3 linked regions of the Xenopus tropicalis genome follow. The protein of the gene in region 1 purifies or fractionates together with the protein of each later gene. This does not show direct contact. Links are inferred from orthologs where the notes say so. Each region holds a gene or a part of one and is shown on either strand. Other genes may lie near its edges. The genes, in order: imp3, utp25 and utp3.

Evidence for each region.
Region 2: the proteins of imp3 (region 1) and utp25 purify together in Homo sapiens (affinity purification with mass spectrometry; 3 studies listed by BioGRID and IntAct, with this or other methods). This does not show direct contact. The link is inferred for Xenopus tropicalis from reciprocal best matches to the Homo sapiens genes IMP3 and UTP25.
Region 3: the proteins of imp3 (region 1) and utp3 purify together in Homo sapiens (affinity purification with mass spectrometry; 3 studies listed by BioGRID and IntAct, with this or other methods). This does not show direct contact. The link is inferred for Xenopus tropicalis from reciprocal best matches to the Homo sapiens genes IMP3 and UTP3.

What each region holds. Positions count from the first base shown.
Region 1 is NC_030680.2:118,012,432-118,019,349, reverse strand, and holds the start of imp3 (U3 small nucleolar ribonucleoprotein protein IMP3), read right to left. Parts: upstream 4,367-6,918; 5' UTR 4,203-4,366; coding exon 4,066-4,202; intron 2,461-4,065; coding exon 2,353-2,460; intron 1-2,352. UniProt on the Homo sapiens protein: Component of the 60-80S U3 small nucleolar ribonucleoprotein (U3 snoRNP). Required for the early cleavages during pre-18S ribosomal RNA processing. Part of the small subunit (SSU) processome, first precursor of the small eukaryotic ribosomal subunit.
Region 2 is NC_030681.2:15,271,498-15,277,843, reverse strand, and holds part of utp25 (digestive organ expansion factor homolog), read right to left. Parts: intron 5,780-6,346; coding exon 5,694-5,779; intron 5,050-5,693; coding exon 4,648-5,049; intron 2,981-4,647; coding exon 2,764-2,980; intron 2,566-2,763; coding exon 2,363-2,565; intron 1,800-2,362; coding exon 1,617-1,799; intron 1,268-1,616; coding exon 1,155-1,267; intron 10-1,154; coding exon 1-9. UniProt on the Homo sapiens protein: Component of the ribosomal small subunit processome for the biogenesis of ribosomes, functions in pre-ribosomal RNA (pre-rRNA) processing. Essential for embryonic development in part through the regulation of p53 pathway.
Region 3 is NC_030683.2:94,841,799-94,848,144, reverse strand, and holds part of utp3 (something about silencing protein 10), read right to left. Parts: intron 6,184-6,346; coding exon 6,037-6,183; intron 5,843-6,036; coding exon 5,771-5,842; intron 4,535-5,770; coding exon 4,494-4,534; intron 4,296-4,493; coding exon 4,199-4,295; intron 2,380-4,198; coding exon 2,239-2,379; intron 1,491-2,238; coding exon 1,366-1,490; intron 938-1,365; coding exon 880-937; intron 312-879; coding exon 204-311; intron 1-203. UniProt on the Homo sapiens protein: Essential for gene silencing: has a role in the structure of silenced chromatin. Plays a role in the developing brain. Part of the small subunit (SSU) processome, first precursor of the small eukaryotic ribosomal subunit.

The sequences.
Region 1 (6,918 bases):
AATTACAAAAAGATACTTTATCCGGAAAACCCCAGGTCCCAAGCATTCTGGATAACAGGTCCCATACCTGTACTGTATTAAAACAATAAAAATATTTTTCTAGTGGGCAGCTTCTCAGTAAGTAAAGAGAGGTTATCAGCAAGTACGTGTTTAAGGCCCAAGTCAATGCCTATGTACAGGACCTGAAAAAACTGTAAAATCAATGAAAATCAGAAGAAAAGGTATTATGTATTATATATTGGTGTAATATGAGGTAACACTTAAAATCAGAGGATGCAAAATTGAGGCTTCACTATAATTAGAAAAGTGACCCATCTAGGTAAGATTTACCATTAAAAACATATATTGCTTCCCACCCCCGCCACCCATATAAGTATTTGATTTTTTACATAATTAACAACTTGAAGTATTCTAAAATACCTAAGTTTGCTTATTAAATACAAAGGATCCAGTTTTATTTTTAGAGTTCATGGCCTTAGGTAGTATGTCATGTGTTTTTGAAGGAATTATATATAATATATATGTCATATTATACATGGAAGCGACTCACGAATACAAGTCAACAAAGTTTTGAATGGAATTCTAAGTATCTGCTAGCAAAATGCCTAATACAATATTGCCCAAGAACAGAAGCTCTGATGCTATGTCCATATATACACATAAACAAAATATAATATATGTGCACATAATAATAATTAACACATCCTTGTGCAATTTAGAGATTTTCCCATGGCATACTTTGTTTGTGAATGCCAATCCATTCTCGGAGATGACATTTTCATTGGAATGGCCGTATCATGTGTCCTAATCGTGTCCAATTTCCCACGATAAAATAGGGATGTGATTATGTAGGGTAGGACAAGCTTCTGTACAGAAAAGAGTTTTAATGAGTATCCAGACAAGCACCTGAGTTACGATGATCATAAATTAGAAGGTTAGCACAGTGAGTGGGCAGCGCTATTGGCCTTAGGAGATGACATTATAAATCCCTACTGTTTGCTCTGCTAACAGCTGCATATAACAGAAATAAACAGTATGAGGACTGACAGGAATTCGTAGGCTATATCTTATCTTTCTGGAAAGAGGAACAAGTCATCTGGAGTTCATTACCTACATGATCAACAATAGTTATAACCATTTCTAATCGCCTCACTAGGACAGTATAAGCAAGTGGCTATGTACATTTTCAAAGATGAATCAGATGCAAGGTGCCTAGATTTCCACAGTATACTCTATATGCTCACTGCCACCTGCCAAGTATAATACCTCTCTCTGTGTCAACTCTTGATCTTGCACATTTCCACACCTGGTGTCTTATACCATCTTCTCCTTTAAGATTGTAAGCTCTATTGATTAGGCCCTCTTCTCCTCCTGCATTGGTCCTAATGCTGAATTTTGACAACCGTCTATCTGCTATACAAAGAACAAGCTGCCATACATGATAACATTCTAGAATTGGCTCCCAAAACAGACAGAAAGTAACACTGTGTAATTTAGATATTGTATACTAAAGATGATGCACCATGTTGTAGAAACAGACACCAAAGTACTTTCGCAGTGACCCTCTAACAAATGCCAGATAAGGGAACTCTTACACCCAAGCCATACCTACCATCAGGTTGTGTTCCCAAAGAGTTGTGTTGGCCAGTATTGCAACACACAAACCAAAAAAAAGTTCAATGCACAATCCGAATAAATGTCTTAATTATTTAATTATCTTTTGTTTAATTATGTCTTGCCTGTCCTTGAGTGAAGTCTGTCCTTAATAAGAATAAACAATTCCAATTACAACATGTTTTTCAAAAAGAGAGAACATCAAATAAGAGGTAAAACCATGTGGAAGTTTGGCTTATCTTCCTACAGAATACAAGTTTATGGGGGGCACACCAAGAATAAAGGTGAACTAAAACTTAATATTTGAAGATGGCTTTCCCACCCTTGCACATTTTCCTTACCCGTTTTGAAAAAGTGCTGTATTTTTGACCTAGAGCAGCAAGCCAAATACAGATCTGACTGCCCAAGGAGCAACAGAGGTGGGGCTGCTTATTATACCTTATAGGTGCTTACGGTCATCCGACTGCCTAAATCATTCTGTAGGCATTTGGCCTGCATAAAAAAGTGGTCAATACACTCCAAACCGTTGTTCAAGAGCTAAATGCAAGTGCAAATTCAAAATATGTATGGTTCAAAATCTATACTTCATATACCTATTTAATAAAAATGACGCGACAAGATGTAGAGTGCTGGCAGCACCCACACAATGGAAAATAAATACCTATAAATGTATATAAAGGATATATTTAAATTTGCAGCCTATCCATTGGGGCTAATAAAACTTCATTTCATACTTACAGTTTCTCTAGGAGCTTTGCAGTACTTTGGACACGAAATTTATCTTTTTCATCCAGGTCTCTAATTTTTTGGGCAAGTTCTCGGATATTTCTACTGAGTTTGTTGTACCTACAGGACAAATGAATAGCAAGAATAAGTGAACTATTAGACCCCTATAGCCAACACAAAATAGGCACTGCAATAAAGGAAATATAAAGGAACAGTTATGAGCATGTTTCTTTGTTAAAGTTTGATGCAAACCTTGTTCATAAATAAACATGGTGACATTGCATAGAAATGCATACAGAAGACAACACTCTTTTAAGCATTCATGCATTATTTGATTACTAATCAAGCTTGCAGCAAGTACATTTCATATAAACCCACTATTTAAGGGATGAGGTTAACACTTCTAGTCTCTTGCCTGAAAAGTACTACATGCTCTTGATATTTTCCATCATCTAAGATCTCATTAGCACAAAATACTGGAATATGGTTTCTGATAGGATAAAACTTGGAAAGCAAGGTTAGGGTTAGAAGGGCCAAAAGGTCCTCTAAATAAAGAAATGTGGAGAAATGTCTTCTGAAAACAGAAGGTGTTCACATGCCTCACCTCAAGCTATACACGTAGCATTGCTCAAACTGTCAAAAAAGTGTGCATATCAATATGTTGAAAGAATGGCAAGTGCCATTCTGCTGGGCAGTGTGTATTAAATACCAACTTGCCCCATGCTATAGCCCTAAAGCCTAATGACACAAAGGACATTTACTGGGCTTTTGGCATCAAGCATTATTTTTACTGGTCAAGTGGCAAACCTACTTGTGGAAGCAAATGAATAATAGGGATCATGCATCATATAAGGCAGTGGTCCCCAACCAGTAGCTCAAGAACAACATGTTGCTCACCAACCCTTGATTGAAGAAGCTCCCAGGGCCTTAAAGGAGGTTCTTATTTTTTTTAACTCAAGGCTTGGAGTAAGTTTTGGTCTCCATAAAATCCACCTGTAGGCTGCCAGTTCACATAGGAGCAACCAAATAACCAATCACAGCCCTTATTTGGTATGCCCAGGTAAATTTGTCATGCTTGGGTTTCACTTTTTACACCTGAATGTGGCTCACAGGTAACAATGTTGGGGACCCCTGATATAAGATATTAAGTAATGTAAACACATGTCACACAACAGTATGCATCTGGGACCACTGAGATTTCAGTGAAAGTCAACATTTTCAGCCTCTGTAAGCAATGCAATATACCACTGTACAGCAACAGAATTAATCACCCCATCAATATATTTCATCAGCAGTGTTTCAATCTAAGGCACCATCACACTGATATTACTATATAAATATGTTACTATTAGAAAAATAAGGAACCCTTCTAATACAAAAAGCAATTTTCTATCCTTGAAGGATCTTCAATCTATTCTTGTATTTAAACACTGATTGCCATTAGACCAGCCTTGCTAATTACATTTTAAAAAGTGTCTCTGATTTGTCATGTGTTTCGGTCAGCATGTTTAATAAACATAACAAGACTGAGTTCAGCTGTTAACAAGAGCCTCTGCGTTCCCGGAAGTAGGCCATATTGTTGTCATGGTGAAAGTGTCATGGCTGCGCCCGTTTCACACGTGTACGAGAGGTATTTATACACTCTAATCGCCATTCTGTAAACAACATATCGGAATGAAACATAGCTGTAATGATTTCGCTTTGACATAGTTAGGCGACACTTACTTAGTATAGTCTTCTCGCTTATCCAAATGGTATTTTCGCAGCACTTTGACTTCATGGATGTTATTATCCACCTCCCAGTTAATAAAGTCTACCTTTTTCAGCAGCTTCTGCTCGTGATACTTTAACTTGCGAACCATTTCGCGTGAGTTACAAAGGCGAAGGAGAGAAGCAGGGCGGAAAGATACGTTTATGCTGCGGGCCCGGGGTACCGCTTGTTCCCCTCTGTGAGGCAGAAGCAGGGATCGGTACCGGAAAGCTCTGTGAGGTCACGGGTAGAGGGCGGGGCCTCCTTGGACAGCTGAGCGCATGCGTATTGCTGAGGCTTGATGGAGTTACTGTATACGCTGTACCATATCTCATACCGTTACTATTTCCCAGCTGTTAATGACAAGGGGTGGTTAATATCTTTCAACATCATTTCCAAGTACACTGTTGTAATATATGTACTGTTTTGAGCACCTAACAGTATATGACAAACCTAGACGTGCATGCTAAATTTTTTACAGATTTTAACTATATAACTGCATTTATTGCCACATTTTCAGTGACTACAGATGATAGAGTGAAACTATCAGTAAACAGATACTATGAACTAACAATGACTGGTCATAGTGCTGCTGCCCTACAAGCATATAAATAAATATGTGGCAATATACTGAAACACTTTTATTGTTATTAATACTTATTTATATAGCACCAGCATATTCTGCATTGCTGTATAATAGAAGGGCAGGATCAGACTGGAAAAAAACCCAGTGAGCCCTGCTAACCCAGACCCCCTATTGCAGCAAGGTTGCTATGAGGTATACCTGCATAGTGGGGGGGGGGGTTTGGGAGGATGGCAGGGGCCCCTAGAGGGAGTGGTGGGCCCCTGAAGTGGCAGCCCTGGTGGGCCCTGCACATTCCAGTTTGGCCCTGTGGAAGGGTGTGCATACATCTAACATATAGGGGCAGATTTATCAAAAGACGAGTTTCGAATCCCGAATGGGAAAAATTCAGATTGGAAACGCAAATTTCTGAAGATCGCAAATATCACGAAAATGCTTACGAAAAAATCGTATTTGTCACGATAATAACGTATTGGCGATCTGAAAGTCACAAAATTTTCGTACCGAACGATTGTAAACAGCGGGCAAACTGATCTGATTTTTTCGCGCTAAATATAGAAAATAGTCGCGCAAGGTACGAAAAAGTCGCGCAAGGTACGAAAAAGTTGCGGAAAATACAATTGAACGAACGCTCAGAGCATTCGTGGATAAGTAAATGTGCCCCATAGATTACATAAAACAAAAAATATATAACCAATATGAGAAGTAAAGAGATACCTGCTCAATAGAGCTTATGATCTAAAAGAGGAAGGGGGTATGAGAAACCAGGTGAAGGGACTTGTATGCAGTTCGTTAAGTCTACTAAAAAATCAAGAAAACATTTTTTAAACCCAATAGGCTTGTTTTGCATCCAATAAGAATTATTTATATCTTAGTTGGGATCAAGTACAAGGTACTGTTTTATTATTACAGAAAAAAAGGAAATCAGTTTTAAAATTCTGAATTATTTGATTAAAATTGAGTCTATGGGAGTTGGACTTTCCGTAATTTGGAGCTTTCTGGATAACGGGTTTCCAGATAAGGGATCCCATACCTGTACTGTCTATGGAAATTAGGGATATTTAACAACTGTAGTTGTTTTGGATGAGAGTTATCACTGTACTTTAAGTTTTTTAACGGACACCACCTGATTGGGACCAATGAAAATTGCGATTCTAGGATATATGCAAAAAGTATTGGGACATTACAAACTGCTTTGTCTTTCTGAGCTTCAAACACAATATTGAAAGGGTATTGAATCCCCAAAAAACAATTGATGAACACTTACAGCAGTTCTCTGAGCACTTTTGCAAGTTACATTTATTAGCAGTTTGCAGGCTTTTGGCACAGCTGTGCATTCAGCAACCATAGGGTTAACTGGATACATGAAGTACATTTAAAGTGCATAGAAAGGTAGGGTTGGTGTCACTCTGATATATATGTCTAAAAACTGCAAATATAAAAAAAACACAAAAAATAGATTATGTATGTAAATGCAAAAGTGCTCAGGAGATAACTCTGAGCAAATTTACGTTTTATTTAGATTCCTTTTAAATTTATCCTGGTTGAGTCCACTAGTACTGTGCAATTTTCCATTTTCAGCAGCCCATTTCAGATAAAGTTACAGCAACAATGACATCAAAAACTTTCTTCTGTGTTCCTCCAGTCACATCCTATTCCAAGTCTCTGGCACTGAGCATGTTGGTTGCACTTCCCTGGGGTGCTGGGAAGCTGGGCACATGTGGAATACCATGGAGGGTATGGAGGTGAAGGTCCATATTGGAAGAAAAGTTAGGAGTCTCTAACTTAAGCAGCAAGGGACTGTGGCTATAGGAAGTACATTGTAATGTCCTGCTGCAAGGCTATTTAAATGAGCCATATTTTATTTGGGGTTTGGTTGCAGTTTAAAAGCACCAAACACCAACAAGAATTCCACAACTTATTTAGAATTAGAGTCCATTCTCTAGCTCAGGACTGTCCAACTGGAAGCCTGTGGGCTGGATGTGGCCCTGTAAAGGATTGTTATGCTCAAAGGCTCCATAGACTACTGTATGACATAATCATTTTAATTGAAAAACATTTTAATTGAAATTGAAATGTTAGGCAACCCCCAGTGCACGTAATTTGGCACCCCCAGTGATTTTACCTGAGTTTATTGATATTGCAACAGAAGTAACAAAAGGTATAGCACAAGTATGCAAATATGCATGCAGCATTGATGTAATTACAGGGATAATTTATAGTGGAACAATTACGAGTTTGAGCA
Region 2 (6,346 bases), on another chromosome or scaffold:
AACTCAAACCTGAGTGAGAAAAGAAGCTGCTGTCAGATTGGGTGCAATGGACTAACATTTGGGTACATCTCAGACGCAGAATAGAGTATTGGACCCCTCTTAAACCACACAAAAAATAAAATTCATTTGAAAGAAAAAGATAACTTTCTGCCTTCCTTCTGCTACAAATTAAGTGCAAGTATGTTTGTTGACACAGAGAAACCATGAAGCTACCAATACCTCCGAAGGTTGCAGAAGCTCCAGGTTTTCTATTGGGGACAGTGTAAAATGGACGCAGCAGACCTGAGTGTAATGAATCCGTTGCACACACCAGAAGTGATGCCAACCAGATTTAGAACCTTTTTAGTGCAATTGTATTTGATTCAAAGTGTAAAAGAAAACTATATCAATGTTAATACGTTGGCTGCAATTGTGTCAGTGCAACGCCCCCTGGTGACCACCAGGAATTATAGGAAAAAAAACCATTACATTGTGGGAAGAAGACAGAGCAGTTGTGTCCAAAATTGTACTTTGCACCCTGCAGCTGCAGTCATAAGTGAGCCCTATTGTATCAATGCCTTGAGTTACATTTCAAGCATTGGCAGTTCAAACTATCATGGGTCACCTCCCCTTTATTTGCATCTTAAGAACTACTCATGTATTGACCCATGTATCTGCACCTTCAGTACTGGGACTGGGAGGTCCTGTGACATACACTGAAATGCCACAGGTCTGCGCCAGAACAGCTAATAAAGATTAGGCAATACGGTTTAAAGGGCCAGAACATGATATTGTGGCATCAGGGTTGCATATATATCACTAATTTAATGCCTTAGTCCTATGGGTTTTAATGTCTTTGCCCTGGTACCAATTAAATAATGACAATGAGTGGAGATGCCAGCACCCTTATTCAAAAAATAGCAGCAACGTTTCGGGGGTGTACCCCTTCGTCAGGCATCATGCTTTGCTGCTATTTTTTTAATAAACACGCAGGGGCTAAGCCCCGCTTGCATTGTACTCGTTGTGCCAGTCAACTATTTTTTGCTGGACTGTGTTGGGAGTGTTGACTCTCTGGGCTGTGCACCGAGTAGGAATTGTTGGAGGAGGTAAGGGTGTGCTGGGTGAACGTTCTTTGATGCCAGCACCCTGTCAGTCTGGGGCAGTTGGGCAATTACCTTGCATCTATAACAGTAAGCAGGCTGTCTGCCTCTAATCTCTGGAAGACGTGTGGGAGCTGGACCACAACATGACTGATAGAGCCAGTAACGGGCATGTTCCTAACTGCCACCTACAAGAAAATCGAGACGATCAATTACATAAATAAGTGATTAAATAAGGAAATACATACAGTCTGTACATAGGATTTATTTTCTTTTTTAATGAGAGAAACTAAAACTACCCATAGGGGTAGGAAATTTGACATCACTTACCTCTTGCTTTGTCTACCCGCTCTTTCCTCACTCTGCTGCCAGTTTCAGGCTTGTGCAGACTAGTTTACCAATTACCTGGCCTTTCAATATCAGTGCCCAATATCAGTGCCCAGTGCAAATCCTCACAATGAACAATATACCTTTCAAAAGGCAAGTAACATAAAGTACCCCAATATAAAGGCAGGACATTAAACAGATGGCGCTTACCTGCCCGCAGTAATTAAAGCAATGCTTGTTGAATATAGAGTTTATTTGGGGCTCCTGCAGGGAGCTGAACAGCAGTGTCTGCCGATAGTACTTGGCCCAGTTGCTGAGGTTCCACATGCGGACACGAGAGAAATCAACCCCGTGAGAGTCTGTAGGCTGCAGGTTAAGGTGAGCCATCAGGTGCTGCAACAGAAGGGAATGATATCAGAGAGTGACAAATATAATACACACACACACACATATATATATATATATATATATATATATATATATATATATATATATAAGTCAAGCTGTGTGTCTGCACTCTAAACCAGATGGGTGCTGAATGCTCGGTTGTTTCCTAGGTTAAATATACTGTGTGAATACGTAGTCAAGGTGGCTAACATAAGTTTGAAATGAGAGACATACAAGGGAATCGTATTTTGTGTATATAAAAAAAAAATTATGTTTTGTTATAGATGTTTACACCATATGCACATTCTATGGATTTCAAACTGAATAAGTCACACATGCGTATACTGGCACCTATTGGTGAGAGAGAGAAATCACACTGACTTTTTTATGTATGAACACTATATACCATTGGATTGGTTAACTATATATGATTTGCACTGTGATGCAAATTATGATATATATATATATATATATATATATATATATATATATATATATATATATATATATGAAATAGTGATTTGTGATCCAGCAAACAATGCAAAAGCCTAGTGACCAAAATGACTTACCAACACATGCTCCCAGTTCTGCATCAGGTACAAATCTGCTTGATCCAGAATGAGAACCTCTATGGAGGACAGGAAATCGAAATCCCTTTTCTTCTCCCCCTCGCTGCCAATGATGGTACGCAAGCCAACGGGGGAGGCGATAATGATGTCCGAGGAGTAGAATGGAGAGTACAGCCTCATGCTCTTCTGCAAGATGGCCACTCCTAATAAGACATTGGCAAGAGTATAATATCACTATCCGCCGATGAACTACCACTCGGTATTGCCAAATGGGATGATCTGCCTACGTTTTGACTATGATGGGGGGCATTCTACAGCAAGCTGCAAAGGGAGGTTCTCATTCAACATGATACAGAGGGGCCTGTTTAACACAAATATCCAGTGCAACAGGACAGCTTTACCTATCCTAAAGTGATCGTCAATGTTTCCAGCAAACACAGCTTCATAATCTTCAGGCCTCTTCAAGTTTGGGGGTCTGTCTTCGGGTTCCGATCCAAATTCTTCCTTGAACCGCTTCTTATTGCTCACGTCGACTTTTCTGCCTCCGACCTCCATCAGGCTTATTAATATCTGCACTATGCGTAAGGCGGATTCTCGGAACGGCACAACAATGAGGACCTGAAAACATTAAAACACTATGCAGTCTTTAAACGGAAAGGATTTCATTTTACATGTTTACTCAATACAATGCTTGTTTTGTCCCCCTTTCAGTTTTAGGATGGTATTGAAGAAATGGACATTGCTTTTTTACTACCTCCAAACAAAAAACTATATGTATGTACAAGTCAGCAACCTGTAGCTTCAGCGCAGATCCCATTAAAAGGCTGCCCTTCCCTATAGCTGATAGACAGTATAGTACTAATACTAATAGACAGTATAGCCAGGAATTATGTGTGGCTCTTAAAGCGGATTAAAGCCATTTTATTCAGACCAGCAATGCCCCTGAGAGCTGTACTCACACTGAACAGAACATTTTTGGGTTAGGGTGTTGGCAGAAGGGGAGATTTGTTGCTTACGGTGGGAAAGCATTTTTCTGCTGTGACCCTGTGTACATATGGAGTATTTTATTGGATACCAAATGATGACTCCTATGGCAAGGCCAATGTATCATATGCTCCTGACCTTTGATTGGCCCAGCACAATAAAGCAACCCAGTGTCATTATCTGGTTCAAATGTGTATTATGGTATACTGCATAGCCGGTGGAAAGAAAACCAATAGATTGGAGGCACCTTAATACATATTTCTTTACCCAATATGCAATATTATTATTATTACAGCACATGCAAACCCTACATTTTCCTACCATGTTTATAAGTAAGGCCTATGAAGATTCTCATTCATCCAGGTCATGATATACAGTATCTAGTAGAATTAAGTCTAAAAACAACTGGACTTTTCTGAGTTTTTCCTTGAAATCCGAGTGGCTTCTTCAGTTCCAATGACTGGTAGGGAATTCCCCAGCATTTAAACCCTTGAGGGATGTCTGTGACTGTACTTACCCCCTCAAGGGTTTAAATGCCGGGGAATTCCCTACCAGTCATTGGAACTGAAGAAGCCACTCGGATGAAAGGTGAAATGTTTTCAAGGAAAAGTCCAGTTGTTTTAGACTTAATTCTACTAGATACTATATAAGTTAGGCATATCTTCCCCACACTAACCACATCACTTGTACTGCATATACCCCCTCCGCTCTCCAGCACATAACATTTTCCTAAAACAAACAGCAGCTTTCACCCAGTGGCCATTTTCACTCTCACACATCTTCAGTGACATTTACATCTCCAAACAGCACGTGCAAGTTCATGCAATGAAGAATGCAGGCTTACACAGGCAGAACCTACATTGATAAAAAAGTCCTACTTGGATTGAGCATTTGAGTAATGGTTAAGCTGAGCTCAGGAGAGGAGGTTAGAAGAAATATCTCCAGCAGAGGGCACAGCTAGAGCAGAGTTTCTATGGAAACCAGCAGCGCCATCTCGTCATTGGCTGCTACACTGAAGGGTGTCTTTGGTAACCTGAGTTAAGAAGAACTGAGCATGCTCAGTAGCCAAGAGCCAAAGTCAGTTCCTGAGGGAGGGGCCAAGTGAGTTACAGGAGAAGAAGGAATCCTAAGTGATTAAAGGGATGCTGCAGCCTTACTATTAACCTTTGGACACCCAGAGGGCAGCTATTTAAGATTTCAAAGAGGCTGGTCACTGATTAAATTTATTTGTGGGGGGTTAACATGTCCTTTAAGAGTACGGGCACTGGTCTTTAATAAAAAGTAATCCATTCATGTGATACCTTTGGTCTGGTCAGGCCCTGGTCCCTTAGGTCTTCTTCATCCAGTCCGGGTTTTTGATCTCTTTTCTGAGAGTTGTTATTCAATACCTGGGCGTTTGCTTTCAGAACATGGTTCAGCGCATGGAGACAGTACACATGTCTGATCTCTTCGCCCTGCGCTGTAGGGCTCCGTGCCGGGAAGAACAAGTCCCTGTAGGAGTTCATGATACTGAAAAGCTCTCTCTGTAGGGGGGTGAAATTCTGTTCCTTATCAACAGACAGGAAGGGACTGTTCACTTTGGGCCACGTGGAGAAGAGCGGCTTGTGCAAATACAGCTTCTGTAGGTCAGTTTCCTTCTCGACTTTTAGGGGCTGGAGCTGAGGAAGAGAGCTCGAGACACCCAGCTGACCCAAGGCCGGCCACTGAAACCAAAAGGGAACAAGGGATGCCAAGGAATGAAACAATTACATACAACGTCAGGTATACAAATGAGTGAGACAATAACCCAATGGTTCTGTCATATAAATATATGGAGAAGGAAAGTCATTTTAGCATTTATTAACAATAGATTAGCCACATAAGTGCCAGCTAGAATGTAATATTTATTCTGCAGAAAGCTTTACCATACCTGAGTAAAGAGCCCTAGAAGCTCCCTCCATTTACTTAAGATAGCAGCTGCCATTTTAGCTTGGTCTCAGTAGTTTCCTGCTGCAGCTTTAGGGGCTGGTAGCTCAGATCACACATTCTGATGAGAGGGGGAGTGAATTTTTATGGGAGGGGGGAGCAGGAGAGAGGGCAGACTCTGGCCCCAGGAATGAAGGATTTTTCTGATACAGGAAGCCTGATACTGAAGAACATGTATACACAAAAGAAGACAAGAAATCCTGTGTTTCTTTTGATAGAGGACTCGGTGCAGCGTTTCTGTGAGTGCTTATGGCTGTATTTACATAGACCTTTCTGATAAAGCTTACTTAGTTTTTACCTTTCCTTCTTCTTCTGTTCTTTTCTGTTTTTTTTTTTTATTTTAGAAACCAAAATTTTAATTGAAGCCAGTTAGTCCCCATACCTTGAGTGATGCTTTTTTAGGATTTGTTCCTATCTTACTGATGTCTTGCTCTTCCAGTTCCCTGCCAACATGCTGTACAAATGGGTCTGTAAAGAAGAAAAAAAGGCATCAGTCAGAATCTGCTACATATTTACTGACCCCCAACTCCAAAGCAGCAGCAAATATAAAATACCCATTAGAAGAGGCAATAGATTTACAGATGATGAACAGTTTTTTTAGCCAACTGAATAGTACTCTGCCCCCTACTCTGCCCCCTACTCTTATGAGCATCAGGCAGTTCCATAAGGAGTGCTGTATAACTGCTCTGTTCAGACAAGGCTAGCGAGTACTAAAACCTCACTGAACAAAGGCAAACGTGGATAAAATAAATAGAAATGTTATCATATTATACTAATAGGGATCCTTTAGTATGACAACGTGTAGGCAATTAAAGGGTAACTGAGAATGTAAACTCTTTCCAGTTCTAGACAGATGAAAAAAACACCAGTTATACCATTAATGACTTAAATACCATGATATGGGGCACAGGGCTAAGGTTACAGTGGGGTTCTCTTTGCGCCCATCATGCTAATTATTTTGTACCAGCCAATTGGAAGCACAAAGCATGGAAAAGAACTGGCACTTTGGTGTCAACACAATGACACCAATTTTGC
Region 3 (6,346 bases), on another chromosome or scaffold:
CTTGAAGTTAAAGAAGCTAAACCTAGTAAACTTTTGCAACACATGCTGAATTTCAAATTGCTAGTCACAGGTTTGGTAAGCCAAGTCTTAAACATAAACACCCCAAACCTATGAGTACTATAGGATGCAATGTCTGTTTTTTTTTTCACCCCCCCCATAAAAAAGGATTATATTCAGTTTCTCCAGCAAATAAATAGATATACCTGGCCCTTTCTGCGAATTTTAGCACGTCGGAATTTTTCCCTGTGTTTAACTCTGGGATTTCGGTCCAGCTTCTTTCTTTTAGGTGTAAGTCCTTTATTCTTTGCAATCTGAAACAACACAATTACCAAAATACATGAAAGTAGAACTATACCATTGGATTAGATATAGGCATTAAATACATGATGATTTTATCATTATCTTCAGTACCCCCACTTAAAAAAATCTACATAAATCTAATGTCAAACAACTTTTGCTATTTTGCTTTCACATAGGTCTCTACATAAGGCTAATGGCACAAGTTGAAAAACACCAGTGAAGAAAACACTGTTTCGATCTCTTTCCACCCCATGTGTGCACACAGGACAGGCTATGAACTGTAAAATAGCTAGTCCTTCTCCAAAGAACACTGGATAGTAAACTAACAAGTGAAGCCTAATACTTTGCTTGATTTTACCTAGCAATAACAATGTGAAATCAATACCAAGTATTTATTAACCTCTGGTAAACAAGTTTCCTATTGAGTGTCTGTATCACAAAGGGGTCACTACGGGTCATACTAATGGGCTGCAAAATGCAGACAAGGCTAAGTATGAAAAGTACTGTTTCCCAGTCAGCCTCAGTGTTGTACAACTGTAGATACACAACAGTCACACGCATAGCAATCTGAGGCGTTACCTGATAAGTGATAGCTCTTTTTGCATTTGGATCCAGTTCCTCAGATGGAAGGTCAGTACTGAAAAGACAGAGTAAAGTATTTAAGAAATGGCACCAAGTCTGCAGTAACCTATACATCATCTAAGACATTGTTCAATTGTCAGATCTTTAAATTTTATCCCATTTCATTTTTTACTCATAATTAAACAGTTGTCCTTTTCTGTTACAATAAGAGAGTGAGAGGTTCCATTTAATTGCTACTTTTTTTTTCTTTATCAACTTATTTTTCATTATGTTTGGGGCCCTGGCATAAACATTCTTAATTTACATAGCATCTAATTAGAGTTCACAGATCCTGGAAATTACATGTGCTCTGTAAAAGCCCATGGAACTTTTCCTGCAAGCGCCTATTTACTGCCACCTGCAGGAATGGCCCATCTTGATATGTTCACCTTGCCTTATGTCACACACAACCTTGTATATATGAAAGCTAAAAAAGTTGCTTACACAAGATTTTCTTCTCCGCGATTCCTCTTCTCTAGCAATTTCTGTTCCATTTCCTTATAGTATTTTAGAGCAACTTCCTCATCAAGGTCAGAATCTTCATCATACTGTATGTCAGGCAAAGGTCTCTGTAAAACACACATAAGATGCCAGCATTTAGCAAAATCGCTATAACAAAGCAATAGAATGAAGAAAAAGGGACAGCAACCCCAGGATATAGAAATCAAACATTATATACAATATAATAATATCTTGTACATGACATTTGTGTGCAGACAGAACTGAGGTTAGAACTAGATCTGAGGGCAGCCCAGGTCAGGGCAGATTGCAGGTGTTTTGATCTCTGCTTTTTTTTTTTTTTTTAGCACAGCATCAGAGTGCCTGAGACAAGCCCATGATACATCAAATGAGTTCAGTGCTAGGAAATCAATGGGAGGTGGCAAGTGGTGATTGGATTCTTTATCTCTGTGCCAGACCATGGCAGACAAAGTGCCCAAAATTCATACCATGTGGAATACGCCTTAGACAACACATAAAAGTTGGCTAAACAAAGCAGCTAAAAAAAGAACTTCTGCTTCAAAGAAACAATTTAACATGTGCAGAAAAATATAAAAAAAAAAGTAATATTTATAATTAACTTCTTCCCACCATAAAGGACCAGCCTGCCTGGTTGCTAGGGTTTTAAACTCTAAAGTAGCCAACTGTAAAAAGGTCCTTGCAGCCCTTCAGAGAGAAAATCATACAGAATCTATACAGTGTTTGCCTAGTAGCGTTAAAATCCTTCAAGTGAAACACATTTGACATTAAAAGTGTATAATGTAGGCCCACTGAGTCTTTTAGCATCATTTTCTGCCAAAGCAATTTAGCTGCCCTCACCTTTGTGGCAGCTTTCTTAGAAGTCTTTGGTAAGCTGGAGGAATTTTTTTGTCCCACTTCAGTTTCGTTGAAATCTTGGGTAAGAAGTTGCTTGATTTCTGAGGACAATCTTTGATCCACAATATTCAAATCGTTTATTAGCTTCAAACATAAAACACAAAGAATATTAATCAATCACTACAAGAAAAGCACAATTTACTGTATAATGCATTATGAATATAGTAACAGTTGTGTTAAATCAGTTGGATAACATGCATGAAGACATTAGGTTAAGCTTGGTGCAGAGTGGTTACCACTTAACAACTCCTCTTGGTATATTACATTGCTTTTCTGCTTAAAGGGCACCTATTACCCCACACCCAATTGTTTCCCCCAACCCGAGTATGGCCTCTATTAGCCTGCACCTCCAGTGGAGGAAACCATCCCTGCCAACCAAAAAAAAAAAAAAAAAAAAAAAAAAAAAAAAAAATCCATGCCAGCGCCAGCCTACTCATACCAGGAGTGAGCAGCCATTTTGTGACACACACACAAGCGCAAAATGAGTACCAAAACTCGTTCATTATGTGCATGTGTGTCATGTAGGTGAATTCACCACTACTACGTCTGGTGCAAGTGCATAATAAGCAAGTGGGGGAAGATTTGCTCATTATGCCTATGTGCGCCAAACAACACGGCTGCCCTCACGGGGAGCTCCCTCCCAGCACAGGGAGACTAGCACTGGCTGGGGCTATTTCTTTTTTTTTTTAAAGAAAAATTATTGTTTCCCCCAACCGGAGTGTGGGCTCTAATAGCCCGTACCTCCGATGGAGAATACAATATGGGGGTGATAGGTGCACTTTAAACGAATTCTTATCAGTGTTAGGCTGATGCCTCATATAATGTATTGTCGGCAAGTGTAAAAACTCTTCTTCTGCTTGTGCCTGTACCCCAAGCACTGAATCCGCACAGGTGCAGGCACATGTAGCCAATATCCAGCACAAAGTCTTGTGTTTGTTGGCAGATATTGCCTGCATATGCCTGCACCTAGGCAGATTCAGTGCTTCCCGGTACAGGCACAAGCAGAAGTGGCGAATTCTCGGCATGCTTTTTTCCACTTGCCGAAAATACGCTACGTGTGGCACCAGCCTTAGCTGTGCAGTTCTCATAGTGTTGCTGCCTCACCCCTTTAATTAATTAGTTAATTAATTTAGAAGCATGCTGCAAACTGAACTGATTTCTGTGCAGCTATACAGCATGCATCTAAATGAATTACTAACTAGGCGTGCAAGATTTTGACGGTTTCACCTTCTGGGGAGTTGACAGAGCCCTTCTTCCCTATATTGCCTATACCCGCAGCACCTCTCTGAATGCTGGTGAATTTATCCATGTTGCTTCTCATCTGTGTATGGCACCCCATCGCTGTGCCTTGGGTACAGGCATGATAGAAAAAATGGGCTCATGCCAAAAAAAAAAAAAAAAAACACATCAGAACATGTTTAATGTTCCTTATACAGAAAGTGTTTTTACTTTCTATTGCAAAACACCAAAATCAACTGATACATACATTAGGAGAGGACTCAGAACTGAGAAAACAATTTGTACACAAGTTAAGTCTTTAATTTAGCACTAGCATGAGGCTAATAGGTCTCTATATAATAGACAAGAGCCATAAATATCCCATAAATATTCTTATAAATGGAGCTTAGCGATGTCATAAGTTATAAACAGTGCTTAGAGATGTAGTTTCTGTCACATGACTCACTGAAACTGGTGTATTATAATAAAGTTACCCCTACTGTAAAATATGAGGATATTAGAAGTCACCTCGGAATTGTAATATCCTTATATTTTAAACAGGGGGTACATTATTTACTATATAAATCACTTATCTTTTTATTATATTTTCCATGCCTTTTTCTAGTCTTACAGCTTACTAAAAAAATAAAAAGTTGAAAATCAAATTGGTTTATCTTTTACTTACATTTCTATAAGTTACAAGCCTTTCTATTACGGGATGACCATGGATGGAGATTCTCTTGGCTTTCAGGATTAAGTAATAGCTGATGTTTGTGCAGTAACTACAAATAAAAGAGCAATATAACCAAATTCACAATGAAGACAAAACAAACTTTTAGAAGGGTGCAAGGGGGAATGCAACCTGCAGCACTTTAGATACTGTTAGATGGCACCTCCCATAATGCTCTTAGTGGGGGATTACATTTCACAACACCCACAGTGCCTTAGGTTACCTACGTCTGACATGAAGGTTTCCTTACTTTAAATATAGCTGGTATTTTGTCTGAAGATATGTACTTCCCTAGAAAACAAATGGAAATAGTTAATGCCTTTTGGAAAAGAGGCAAAAACGCAAATCTTTATTAAGTCATTACATTGATCCCCATCCAGTGACTTGCGAGCAACATCTTGCTCACCACTCCTTCCCACCCTCTGATGATGCTCCCAGTGGCTTCAAAATAGGTGCCCATTTTTATATTTCTAGCTTGGAGGCAAGTTTTGGATGCACAAAGACACACTTTTATTGCAAGCAGAGCCTCCTGCAGGCTAGCAGTCCATATTATGGGGCTACTGAATAGCCAATCACAGCCCTTATTTGGCATCCCCAAAGATTTCATGCTTGTGTGGCTCATCAACACTTTTTACATCTGAGTGTGGCTTATGTGTAAAAAAAAAAAAAAAAGGTTGGGGATCCCCAGGTTATATAACAATTTCTAACAATTTGGTCTTCTTGCACAAAACTGGGGAAGGGTTAACATACAACTGACATGGAAGTGCTCCAGTACCATCTAAACTATGGACTTATGCCCAACAAGTAAAGGCATCACTATATCTTGCTGCTGTTCCATTAAGGACCAGGACATACAGATACAACATTTTCTGTGAAATTTGTAGTATTATGTTTGTACCTGAAGCCAGAAGAGACTGACTACAGTGTCTATAGCTTAGGGGTTCCCAACCTTTCTTACTTGTGAGCCACAGTGAAATGTAAAAAGACTTGGAGAGAAATACAAACATCATAAAAGTTCATGGAGGTGCCAAATAAGAGCTAAGAATGGCTATTAGGTAGCCTCTATACACACTATCAGCTTACAGGAGGCTTTATTTGGTAGTAAATCTTGTTTTTATTCTACCAAAACTTGCCACCAAGTCAAGGATTCAAAAAAAAAATAAAACTACCTGGTTTAGGGGCACTGAGAGCAACATCCATGGGGGTTGGTGAGCAACATGTTGCTCACAAGCTACTGGCTGGGGATTCACTGCAGAGGAAGCAGCCTGCTTTCTTTATATTTATGCCACAGAAAAAAGTCTTAATTATTGCGCACTTCTTCTCCCTGCTATTCACACATGATTATTCACACTATTCACACTGATTCCGATCTACTGGTGGCCGCAAACTACACAGCCTGAAAATACCAGAGGTGCTCTGAGGTCCGAACAGTAGAAAGGCATAATGTCTGCATTTCTGCAAGCAGGCCCAGAGTTCTTAGACGGGTAAACAGTAATATTTTTGCACAGCATCATGTTTATTTGTTACCTTTCCTTTAGGAATGGTTCCATTTTTCACCAGTTTAAGTAGTGGCTCCAGTTCATTTTTTACTTCTGCCAACTAATAAAAAAAAAAGAAAAAAAAAGTTTGTCTTAGTATCTATCCTGTTTAACCATTTTATTGCCAGTCAATTCACAATGTACATGTAGAATACATATATATGCTGCTGGCATGTCATATCCTGATAGCAGATTCTATGATACAAGGCATAAGAACAGGTAATAACATAAAAAAGGATAACATGTCTGCATTGCCTTAAGTTTTAAATCTTGCATGAGTTCCAGCAACTCAGGGGATTCCTTCTTGAGCAGCTTTCTCTTCTCTTTTTCAGACATTTTGTTTAAGTCTTTGACAATTTTTTGTTCTGATTGCTTCTCTTCACTTTGCTTTTCTCCGAATTCCTAATAATAAAGTTTTAGATAAAAACACCATATTAAAGCATCTATAATAACTTCTTTACCTTATGAAACATTGGGTATTTTACAAATTCCGATGACTCTGTTTACTGCATTTTCATGCGATAATAGTCCTCCAAGGACTAAAAACATTTTAAGATTACTGGTC